Drosophila melanogaster: one gene and its partner. The protein of the gene in region 1 interacts with the protein of each later gene in a pairwise test. Each region holds a gene or a part of one and is shown in the gene's direction. Other genes may lie near its edges.

Region 1 (6,844 bases):
CCAGCTGTTGCATCACAATATATATACATACATATGTGTAGTGGATGCGTTTACAAAACAATTGGTTGTTTATATTCGAATTAAACTGAAGTTGGGCTAAACTTCGGTTGATTTTCAACTAACATTATGGCGCTCCAGTGCCGGACCTGCGGCAGCATCATCTACAATAAAATGCCCAAGAATCTCTTTCATATTGAGAACGAGAAGATGCTGCAAGACATAAATCTTGTCACTGGCACAACAGTATGTAAGAAAAATGGTTTCCATTTGATTTGTGCAGCATTTTCTGTGATTGCAGCTCCACAACGATCCAGAGCTGCCCAGCAGCATATGCGCCTGCTGCACGCTTGACTTGAACCAAGCGATTTTGTTCCGGGAGCGGTGCATCCTAACGCAGAAGCAGCTCGTCCATCGTCGTAGATCTCCCGAAGCGAAGGAACCGGCTGAAGATGTTGAGGAGATGGCATCACCGCCGGATTGTCTGAACGATCCATTCGGGGAAGTCGATGAATACATTGTGGAATCCCCAGAAGAAGTTTTGGATCATGATAGTGATGCTCATCATGATCTGGATGAGGATAATTATATTGATTCTGTTGAAGATGTTGATGCGCTTCAAGATATGGCTGAAGTAGCCGAAGAGGATTCTCAAGATGTCGAATCTCTGATCTCAAGTGTACAGAAAGAACTTGAGAGCATTTGCAACGACGACAGCAACTCGGATAACAACGATTACATGGAGCCCCAAAACGGTTCCTATTTCAATGAAACTATAAACGAATATGAAGTATCATCGAACCCAAACACACCGCTGCCCGAATCGAAGAGTGCAGCAGGTCGGTCAACGAAGCCAGCGACCACAAAACCCAAGCGGAAAAAACAGTACGTTACGTGGAAAAATATGACCGAGGAGCAGATCATAGAGCGTAAGCGACTGCAGCGTAAACGCGAGTGTGTTTGCGAACAGTGCGGCCGGCAATTCACCGACCAAAGCAATTTCAAGCTTCACATGCTGCGGCACACGGGCAATAAGAACTTCGCCTGCCAGCAGTGTGGCAAGCGGTTCTACACCGACCATCTCATGACGCTGCACCAACGAATCATTCACCAGGGCGAGAAGCCATACGACTGCCGCTTTTGCACCAAGTCCTTTCACAATAGCAACACTCGCCTCATCCACGAAAGGTAAGGGACGTATCCTTGTATCCACTACGGATTCGGACATTTCTGAGCTCAAACCAAAAAAAATCCTTTCTAGGACTCACACCAATGCCAAACCCTACAGCTGTCATCATTGCGATAAATGTTTTAAGTCAGCTTCGGGACGCAAGCGGCACGAACTAATCCATACAGGAGTGCGAGCCTTTGCGTGAGTATTTTTTGACTAGGCGTTGGTATTCCAAAATTTAATACAATTCCCTTTGCAGCTGCACCATCTGCAAACAATCCTTCCAGCGCAACACTCACTTAAAGGCCCATCTGCGATCTAAATTTCACACTGCAAAAGCGAAAACCATTGGTGCGGAGGTACTACAATTATAAGCTGATATAGTATTTAAATTAAAAAACAAGTATTAGATATAAGAAATAAAGCAATGTTTTCATTTAATTGGAGTGCAAACATTTAAATTGCGATAAAATTTTATTAACCCGATTTAATAATCGACACATGCTGCAGTGCAGCCCTGCCAATAAGTATCCAAGGTGGCAATCCTGACATATTTCAATATAAATTTGGAGTGAAAATAAGAATTTTTATTCAAGTTTACACGTCTGCCCGAAACTTCCAAATACATTTGACGGAGAAAGTATTAAACATTATTTTTTATCTTTAATCGTTTATTTAGCCAAAGGCTTAAAGATTTTGGTATATTTTGGCGCTTCACCAACGGTCACACAGTAACCATTTCCTATGAAATTCACATTGCATTTCTCTTTAGAATTAATAAAACTAAAAAAAGAAAGAAACGAGATTGCACACAATCGTTTACGACGAAGCTTGATTCACCCGCCAAAAGTGTTCCCCTCCGCCCGACTGCACTGTGAGAATACCGGTTGTTGACCTTCGGCAGCATGGAGCGTCGTCGCTTTAACATGAGCAGCATGTCACCCATGGCGGATTCCACGCGGATTGACGCGTCGCTGTTGTAAGACACCACCTGTCCAACTGGATTCTAAGCGGTTACTAATCAAATTTGCTCTCCTTTGTTCAGAAACAATCGTCCGGCGGCCAGTAATTTCCTGAGGGGACTGAGTCCCAAGGGGTCGAATACCTCGCTCAATGGCACACGCACTCCGGAGCGGTCCTTGATGAATCGCTCTGCCACATCGTCCAGTACCATAACGCGACAGAAACTGAACCTCAGTCAGGTTGATCCCAGGTAAGTCAAAGCTTGTGTGCCATTTCACGATGTGACGAAAGTGCAATATCAAATTTTCATACCTTTCAGAACCTTTGCCGATGTGCATAGCAGCGGACTGTCATCCCGGATCGTGGCCTTAAGCGAACGCAGTGGTCTGCAACGCAGCATGTCCGCCAGCAATCTTTACAATCCCTTGACGCAGCCGCGCAGAGCGCCCGCTTCCCCGTTGCCCTACAAGTCAAGGGCGCCGACGCTTTCGATCACGCAGATTGCACCACCGGAGCGCAGCTTTTATTCCGGAAACACGCTGTCAAGCCTGTTGCGATCCAACTCCTTGGTAGGGTTAGTGCCAAAGACCACCGAACAGGAGCAGCTTTCGAGAGAGAATCGACCCATATTGCACCCACCTCATCCACAGCATGAGAGCGAGCCAACTAGAAGCGTGTTGGAGGAGCTTAAGGAGATCTCCCGAAAGCGCATCAACACTGAAGTAAGTATAAGCCATCAATCATCCTATGAGAAGATCACCGGCTTACACTTGGCTTGCTTTCAGGATACGCAACAGGCTCAAGACTACACGAAAAGGAGTTGCCAGCAAAACGTGGACTTTGTGGACTTTGTGGCTCATCACCGTCAGCAACAGAAACTACGTAATTTGCAGCAACAACAGAATCAGTCCTTTAAAAGGCAACGAGAGCTGACGGTATCGGTTCCGCTCAGGCATCATTCGACATCTTTGTCGGCTGCTTCTCCTGCATTGCAACATATGAACTCGAATGGAACCATCTCCCCAACACAATCTCCGGAGCAGGTAGCCAAACGTCCCAATTGTAGCTACAGCAACGACATCACTTCCTCGCTGAGTTCCAGTTGCCGTCACAGCAACAAGAGGAAGCTGTTGGACATGCGAGAAAGGTTTCAGCACAGCAAAAACGACACACTAGCTAGTGGAGGAAGCTCGCCTGAGAACTCGCCCGAAAATGTTGCCAAAATTCAACGTAAAGTTGATGCAGAAGCTGTTAGCAAGGCAATGAGCATGCCCGTCGTGACTGTGGCGGCAGTTCCTGCTTCACGAGCCATTTCGGCTCCTGCCATTCAAAAGGCAGTTCCGCAGGTGACGGAAAAACCTAAGCTTACACTCTTCAATGCGCGACAATCTCAAACGATAGCGGAACAGCCGCGACCCGATTTGAGTAGCCCGGAAGTAGATGCCGGCGAATATGCAGGCATTCAGTTCGTGAAGCCTAAACAGCAGAATTCCATGCTGGCTGCCAAGAACCCTAGCGTAGAACGCACACACAAGACCAAACTAGCCATTATGCTAAGTGGATTGAAGGGCGAACTGTACCTGGGTGAGCCGGACGAACTAGATGCCCCAGCGCCGAAGTCAGCGCCAGCGCCTGTGACGCTTCCTACTCCCGTCAAACCCATCATCATAGCTCCTGTAACCACATCCACTACGACCGTTACGTCCACCGCAACCATATCAACTTCTGCGCCCAGCAAGCCGATAATACTAAGTAACCAGGTTATAAAGCCAGCAGATGTGCCAAATACGAATAGCACTGGCTCAGTGCCCAAACTTGTGCTTGGTCAGCCTGCGCCGCCCGCTAAAACGGAACAAACACCACCAAAACCCATCGACAAGGTCCCGGCAGCACAAGCAGATATCCCACCCAAGTTTGAGCTATCAACCAAACCCGTTACTCCAGCAACATCATCTCAACCACTAATCAGTTTTGGCACACCAAAATCCACAGCAGCACCATCATTCTCGTTTGGAAGTGCGACCAATACCACTAGTAGCACTATTGCTAATATCACCAATACTACCACATCAAAGCCCATATTCTCGTTCGGACAAACGCCTGCCAATGGTCCCACAGTAGGCGGCCTTTCTGGATTCAAAACTGAAGCTCCAGCAACAACTTCGGTTAGCACAACTAATCCTGGGACACAGGTTACATCAACAACTACTTTCGGAGTGACACCACCCAAAACGACGACTACAGTTGCTCCGACTACAACTGTATCGCTAAATTTCGGCCAGCCGATGCCATCATTTGGAGCAGCAGACACGGGGGTGAAACCGATGTTCTCCTTTGGTAAATCGAACAATTTAAGTTCAGGAACTCCGACAACAAATGGCAGCGATGCAGCTGCCGCCAAGCCTGCTGTATTCAGTTTTGGAGGTAGCACCACTCAGCCCGCTGCAGCTGCACCGACACCGGTATTCGGAAGCCTATCGAAACCCCTAGGCGAAGGTTTTGCATCGCCCGGGGCTAACAAATCCGAGACAACTAAGCCGAGCATTTTTGGCAATTTGGACAACGGACTTGGAAACGCAATGAAGTCATCAACTAATGTAGCAGCCACAACCGCCGCCGAGCTTCCCAAGCCATTTGGCTTCGCAGCTACAACAACCGCTGCTGGCGGAGGATCAACTGCCACAAATCTCTTTTCATTTGGAGGGACGGCCACTTCAAAGGCAGCGGAACCAGCTCCAGCTAGCCAAAAAAACCTTTTTGGACTAAATGCAACCACAACTACGCCCTTTGCATTCGGAGGAGCAGCAGCGGGCGCCGCAGATAAAAGTGAAAATAAGGACAACAAACCAATTGCATTTGCATTTGGTGCAGGTAACAACAGTGCGGTAGCCAACCCAAGTGGAGTATTTAGCTTTGGTGGCACGGACAAGAGTGCACCACCAGCCTTTGGCAGCGGAACAACATCTGTTACATCTGCCACAGCAACACCGACGAACAACACCTTTGGGTTTAGCACGACTCAGAAGCCTGCAACACCAATGTTCGGAAGTGGATCAACGCAACAGTCTTCGACACCGGCAGTGGCAGCCACCAAACCTTTTACACTTGGTGGTGGGGCTCCTACTACACCGTCAGCATCTCCAGCATCTGGAGGATTCTCGTTTTCCGCCGTTGCGACCAAAAATACTACGGCGCCAACAGCAGGAACAAATTTGTTTGGCAGCCCCGCCAGCGCCAGCAAGCCAAGCTTCAACTTTGGAGGAAACACCGCCACCCAGGCGGCGGCAGCAGGATCACCAGCTGGTGGCTTCTCATTCGCCACGACCACCAAGAAGGAGGACTCAGCAAGCACCAATATGTTTGGGAGCCCCAACACCGGAGTGGTGAAGCCTAACTTTAGCTTTTCAAGCAACAATCCAACTCCAGCGCCTACCTTTGGCGGATTCGGTGCTCCAGCAGCGGCTGCACCAACAGCAACTTCAACTAATCAGAGCAAGCCCTTTGCATTTGGGGCTAGCACTCCGGCTGCTGCCCCCCAGCCGCCCTTGGGCGGCAATCTTTTTGCCAACGCAGTGTCTGCTACCCAAAACCAAACAAAGCCGTCAGGAGTCTTCTCATTTGGTGCGGCTAAGAGCACCGCCGGCACCACAGCCGGCAATGCTCCCTTCTCGTTTGGAGGCGCATCTGCTGGCGGAATCGCCTCGCCGCCCAGCAATCAGGGTTTAAATACCGCAAAGCCATTCAGCTTTGGTGGCGCTGGCGGCACTCCAGCCCCGAATGTCTTTGGGAGCCCAGCCCCTGCACCGCCAGCAAGCAATCCAACCGGGGGCTTCAACTTTGGCGGCGTCAGTCCGGCCCAGCAGGCGAATGCCGGCAACATGTTTGCCCCCACACCGGAGAGTCGTCCGATACGAAAGGCCACTAGGCGTCTGCAGAAATAAGTCCGCTTCAGAAGTAGCTTAATATTGTGTTGCTAGTAAAATTATTAATTATACCGAAAAGTGAATGGCTAAAAACAAGTAGTAGGCAGTACGCTTTTTAATATATAAATATTAATCGACTCTGGTTCGTTCTGTGAAATGTAATTGACAGACTTCTTCTTAAATTGTCACTAAATAAAAATAAATAATTTATAACTATTATAAGTAACGCAAAAGCAAATACATGTTATTGAAACGAATATGAAGATTTTCAACGTATCAACGTTCAAACACTTTGAATTTCATTTGGAATATTTTCCCGTGACTGATGAACTAAAAAAGAAACGCAACATTAATTTCATGCTTGTATTCTTTACTTTTATTAAAAGTTTTAGAACTCTCTGCCCTCCTTTAATCACCGCGTTTAAGTTTTGTGTGTTGGTGCATATTTGTGTTGCTTTCTCCAGGGTTTCACTAACGCATAGAACTTTCGTTTACAATGTGGATTGAAGTGTGTTTGTAAAAAAATAATAACTTTAAAATTAATTAAATATATACCATGTGGACGTGGATGTGTGTTTGTGAGGGGGTGTGTGTTGTTGGTGTATTAGGTGTGTTTTACATAAAGTATACTAAAATTATGTGTTAAAGCAAAGTGGCTGCCCTTAAACGAAAATTAAAACGCATAAATGTACAATTTGCTTAAAGGGAACTTTAAAATAGACATTATTTGTTAAGTTAATTAGGGGGTAGGTTTTTAAAAAATAAATTACAATTTTCCTTTGCCTTGCCG
Region 2 (4,714 bases), on another chromosome or scaffold:
TCACCCACCAGCAGCTGCGCGATAGATTAAGGTGAGTGCCAGATTTTCAATCTTCTGAAGCATTCATTCGATCCAATTTAATATCAGAGGGCATATACATATATATTTATTTCCATCATTCAATTCGATGTTTTCAATTTGATTGACAACAACTTGAAGCTGTGGAAGTTGGACTGTGCCATGTGGCCAGAACGGAAGCCACAGGCAGCTGGGGGATTGGCCTGAGCCGACTTGGGTGCGCATGGAGCCCACAATCTTACGGCAAACTGCTCTGGGTGTATGCATCTGCATTTCGCAGACTGCAGGCGGATATCAATTTATGCAAATTTGCCGGCCTCAAAATGGAAATGACAAAATCTCGGGTGCAGTTAGTCAGTTAGTCAGTCACTCAGCCATGTCATTCGTACAGCCAGAAATCTTTCCGTGAGCAGTCGGAGTCTTCTGGGAACTCTTTTTTAGACAATTGTCATGGAGAAACCCGCTGCCTCTGACCACCGAGCTTTCGAATGAGTTTGCAATTTGGTTGGGAAACTGTGGCGGGGAAGTTCCATTAGAATGATAATGAGGACCAACCCAGTTCGGCGATTGTAATTGGAAAACCTCTTTGAACTATATTGTTGTCTGTTTTCAGTGTGAGGAAAGATACACTTTATAGTTGGATAATTATGCTACATAAACTTATATAACTATGTTATTGATAGAGAAACAAGTTGGAGTCTCTTCATTGTTTTTTTTTTATAATATTTCAGGATAGAGTTTTATAGAATTATAAATACGAATAGAGCATTCCGGAATCGACTGGTTAGATTGTGGAGCACCCAAATGTATGGCCCATTCCATGATAATTTCGTTTTCCACACGAGCTTCGATGCCCGAGGAGCGGAGTGGCAATCTTATCGAATGTTTCATAATTAAGTTGATTAATGGCAATTAATTGCCGTAAGCTTTGCATGCCCAATGGCAGGGCCAATCGATTTCGTAGGTTTTTCTTTTGGCCACAAACTCTTGCCACCATCCTCCAAGCGGCGGACATGTGACTGGCAGCTGCCAAGTGGCATATGCAATTGCATTTGCATAAGGTCCGTTGGACAACGTGGAATGCCAGAGAATAGTGGACGGGGTGGGTGGGTCATAAGTGTCCATATTTCTGCGGCTCAATGGGGATTTACCCGCCAACACCCACCCACCCCCACCCCCTCAGTTGCATGGCCAACAAAGCTCTGACCCAGTGCGCCAATAAGGGCCAGTTCCAATTTGGTTACTCGCCCGCAACGCACACAAATCCTAAAAAAAAACCACAAAAAATTTAAAAAAAAATTTAAAACCCTGGAAACATTTGGCCGTAGATTCAACACAATTGGAAAGAGTGTACACCCGTTTGTGACCTCACACCCGAAATAGTCTTGACACTTATCTGCGACTTTTTCGTCGCATACCGAGATATATATATTTATATATCTCTGGACGCGAGCGGAACTCTTATCAAATCAACGGTCGGTCGGTCGGTCGGTCGGTCGGCTATATACGCGATCCGCCATAACGAAGTGGGCAAACAAAATCCAATATAATGCCCATATACCCCAGTTATATATTGTGCAAAAAAGTAAACAAAACCGAATTCAACTTGGCTAAAACAAACCTGTCGCCGCTCCACTCGCAGTCGGAGTCAGCTGCTCCAATCGCCAAGTTAACTTAACTTGAAGATCGTTGGCACGGGGGGCCCTTATCCACGTGATCCTAATCAGTTTGTTGTATGTTTTGTTTCAATTTGTGCGTCATGCAGTCGGGATTGTTAACGCTGTCGACGGTTTGGGCTTTTTGAAGATGGAGCAAGGTGATCGGCGGGCGGGCGATGGCAATTAGCGGACTGAGTTCGTGTGGCAAGCACCTGAGAAACATATTGCCCGAAAAGTGATTGATAATCGTCGTTCGTAACTGCAAACAGAAATAACAAGACAAGCGAAATTTGTGGTAATTATTTATTCAGATATTTCGCCAGTGAAGTTCATTTCGGTTCAGTGGGAAGATTCCACTCCCAAAATATTACAAAAAAACCAAACAAATTTATAAATAAAACCCACATCTTTAATGCCAACTGAAGTGAATAGCACGATAATTAAAATACATCATTCTTAGAACCACACACACACACAACTGATGCTATAATTTTTGTAAATAAAAAAATGCAAAACCAAAGGAGATTATGCAACTGCCAACTTCTATAGAAGATCTCGATGAAAAAAAGCAAAAATGTCGATAGGAGCTTTGCAAAAAAACACATACAGACATTTATCAAGTTTAATTAGTGCTAATCGCAATGTGCAAAAATAAACACAAAGGAAAACACTTAGGCAATTAAATTAACGTATAAATAACTGCTAGTACGTGATTCGAACTGCAGACAAAGTTTTTTCTAAACTTCTCTCAAGTGATTGCATCTAAACTACGAGATTTGCATACTTAAATGAATAATGTTCTTTAAGTGATTTATGACAACAATTTCATTTATCCTTCTTTGCATTATGCTGAAAATTATTTATCACTAATGGTCACGACTTCAAATGTGACCAATTGCACTGAGTTGTACCTAAAAATATTTATTTACGTGATATTTTCGCTGGGAACTAATTGTATTACTGGTTTACCAATTTTCTATTCAACTTAATAACCGAAACTTAAATGCCCTGCTCAGGGTATATTTACCCATACAACTTCATGTCGAAATCTAGGCAATTTAAATCGAACAAACAAAACTTTTGATAAGGCTAAGGCCAAAGTATGTATTGGCCGAAAACCACGTAAAATGTCCACAAAGAGATGATAGCCGCAAATGAAGAATGTTCGGCTCTGATAAGTAGTAAAAAATAGTTTGGTGTAGTATTGTTCCGGATATTTCATTGATTCAGTATAGTTAGGGTTTTCAATCGAGGTGGAATTAAATCAGAGCTGCTTCCGATAAGTGTGTGTGTGCGTGTGCTTCTGATGCAAATGCCGCGAAATCGATAGCGTAATTGAATTCAATGCGAACTCCGCAGTGCCTGAAGCGCTGGATGCGCCCCTACATCTGCCTCATGGAGCTGCCAATCAACCGACCTGGAAGCGGGAACCTGCTGCTGGGACTCACCTCCGTGGTGGGTCTCATTGGAGGCGCCTATCTGCTGCAGTGTGGCGCCCAGCAGCTCTTGGGGTGAGTTAATCAAATGGGAGATAAATCAAAATATAGCATCCGATGGATACAAGTTCGACTACGTGAGCTAAGCTCCGCATCCGCACGTGCACTTTGTATGCTGCAGATACAAATGCAGCGCGAGATAAATCCGAATAGAAACTGAAACTAAACTTTCTTGACTGCAACTTCAACCCGGTTACGTGGCCATCGTTTCGCATGAGTTGATTGCGTTTGCGTGTGGGAAATGGCCGAGCTGAAGAGATTTGACATAATTGTTGCCATTTCTCCAGTCGCCGTTTTCCACCAGCTACCATTTGCCATTTGTTACTTGCCCCGTCGACCGGGATGGCGATGCAACTGCTCACTTTGGGCATCGAGTGCGTAGCGTCGCCTTAATTAAGGATTGCGCAATCTCCGCCACCTGCCTCCAATTTATGCAGCACCTGTTGTGTCTCGGCGATGGCCTGCCGGTCCGTTAGACGTTTCATAACATTGCCAGTCCAGACCCAGACGAGCTGTCATTGACTCTTCGCGAATCCGTCCACAAGAACGATAGAACCTCGAAGAATGGCCAGCGGAAGTCGTTGGCCAACAAAGGGCACAACTTTCCACCGCCCACCCGCCGCCAGCTGCTTTTTCCTTAAAAAGCGTCACAAATTGGCAATAACAATTGGCCATGGCTAACAACGCCCCTCAATTGTTGGCCTTTCGTCACCTTTTCAATGGCATCTTAATTAGCCGCTTTGTTGACAGCATTATTTGTATTATTATAGCGACGGCAGTTACACATCATTTTTCAGTGTATTAGGGTAATATGCGTATCGAAACTATAAGGCTCTGAGTAATGCATATCTTTGAGGCACAATTTCTTTATATATTTAAGCAAGGAAAAGATTAAAAACATAAACAGAATAATAAAGTTTATATGAGTACCATTTTCTACATACGAGCTTTCAGTTCGCTTATAATTCACTTATTAATTTCCGGGTCTTAAAGACGACATTTTATGAACGACATTCTATGAAGCCAAACGAGTTGTGGAACTGTGGAAAGTCAGCCAAATGCAATTAACTCTGGCCGATGGCAGAGTTTAGATATGCACAGAAATTCTGGGTTTTATTCGCCATTAAAGTGAGAAGAAACCAGTTATCTTGGCCTTGTGGCAAGTGAAAAGCCGCAAAACGAAATATTTTTAGTGCTTTCAAAACCAATTGTGAGAACAATAACAAGTTGTGGAAAATGTTTAAACTAATGCGATATTATTTACTTACTATTGAGCAGTATTGTTTTCGAGTTTGCTTATGGTTAAGGCTGTTGAAAATCGTTTTCTACGTAATAAAGCATGCTTTTAGGCATATGAGTTTTATTTGAATTTAAATAAATTTAAGATTTGGCCAGGTGAATTAAGATATTCAAGATAATTCATGAATCCATTTAGATACGGTCAATGATGATCTCACGAAAGCCGGATAGTAAACTCGGAGATAATCAAAAGATTATTACACTCATATCAATAAAACAATTTACGATGCCACTTGCTCGCTT

What was found.
Region 2: the proteins of CG14712 (region 1) and M7BP interact in a two-hybrid assay, tested with the Drosophila melanogaster proteins (one large-scale study listed by BioGRID).

Annotation. Positions count from the first base shown.
Region 1 is NT_033777.3:11,626,868-11,633,711, forward strand, and holds CG14712 (uncharacterized protein), read left to right. Parts: upstream 1-1,891; 5' UTR 1,892-2,073; coding exon 2,074-2,147; intron 2,148-2,213; coding exon 2,214-2,381; intron 2,382-2,450; coding exon 2,451-2,853; intron 2,854-2,916; coding exon 2,917-6,072; 3' UTR 6,073-6,339; downstream 6,340-6,844. Other genes in the region: CG18764 (uncharacterized protein), read left to right, coding at 127-243, 299-1,185, 1,259-1,369, 1,428-1,542.
Region 2 is NT_033778.4:7,627,142-7,631,855, forward strand, and holds the start of M7BP (Myosin-7a binding protein), read left to right. Parts: upstream 1-1,659; 5' UTR 1,660-1,971; intron 1,972-3,035; 5' UTR 3,036-3,050; coding exon 3,051-3,187; intron 3,188-4,353; exon of another isoform or gene 4,354-4,714.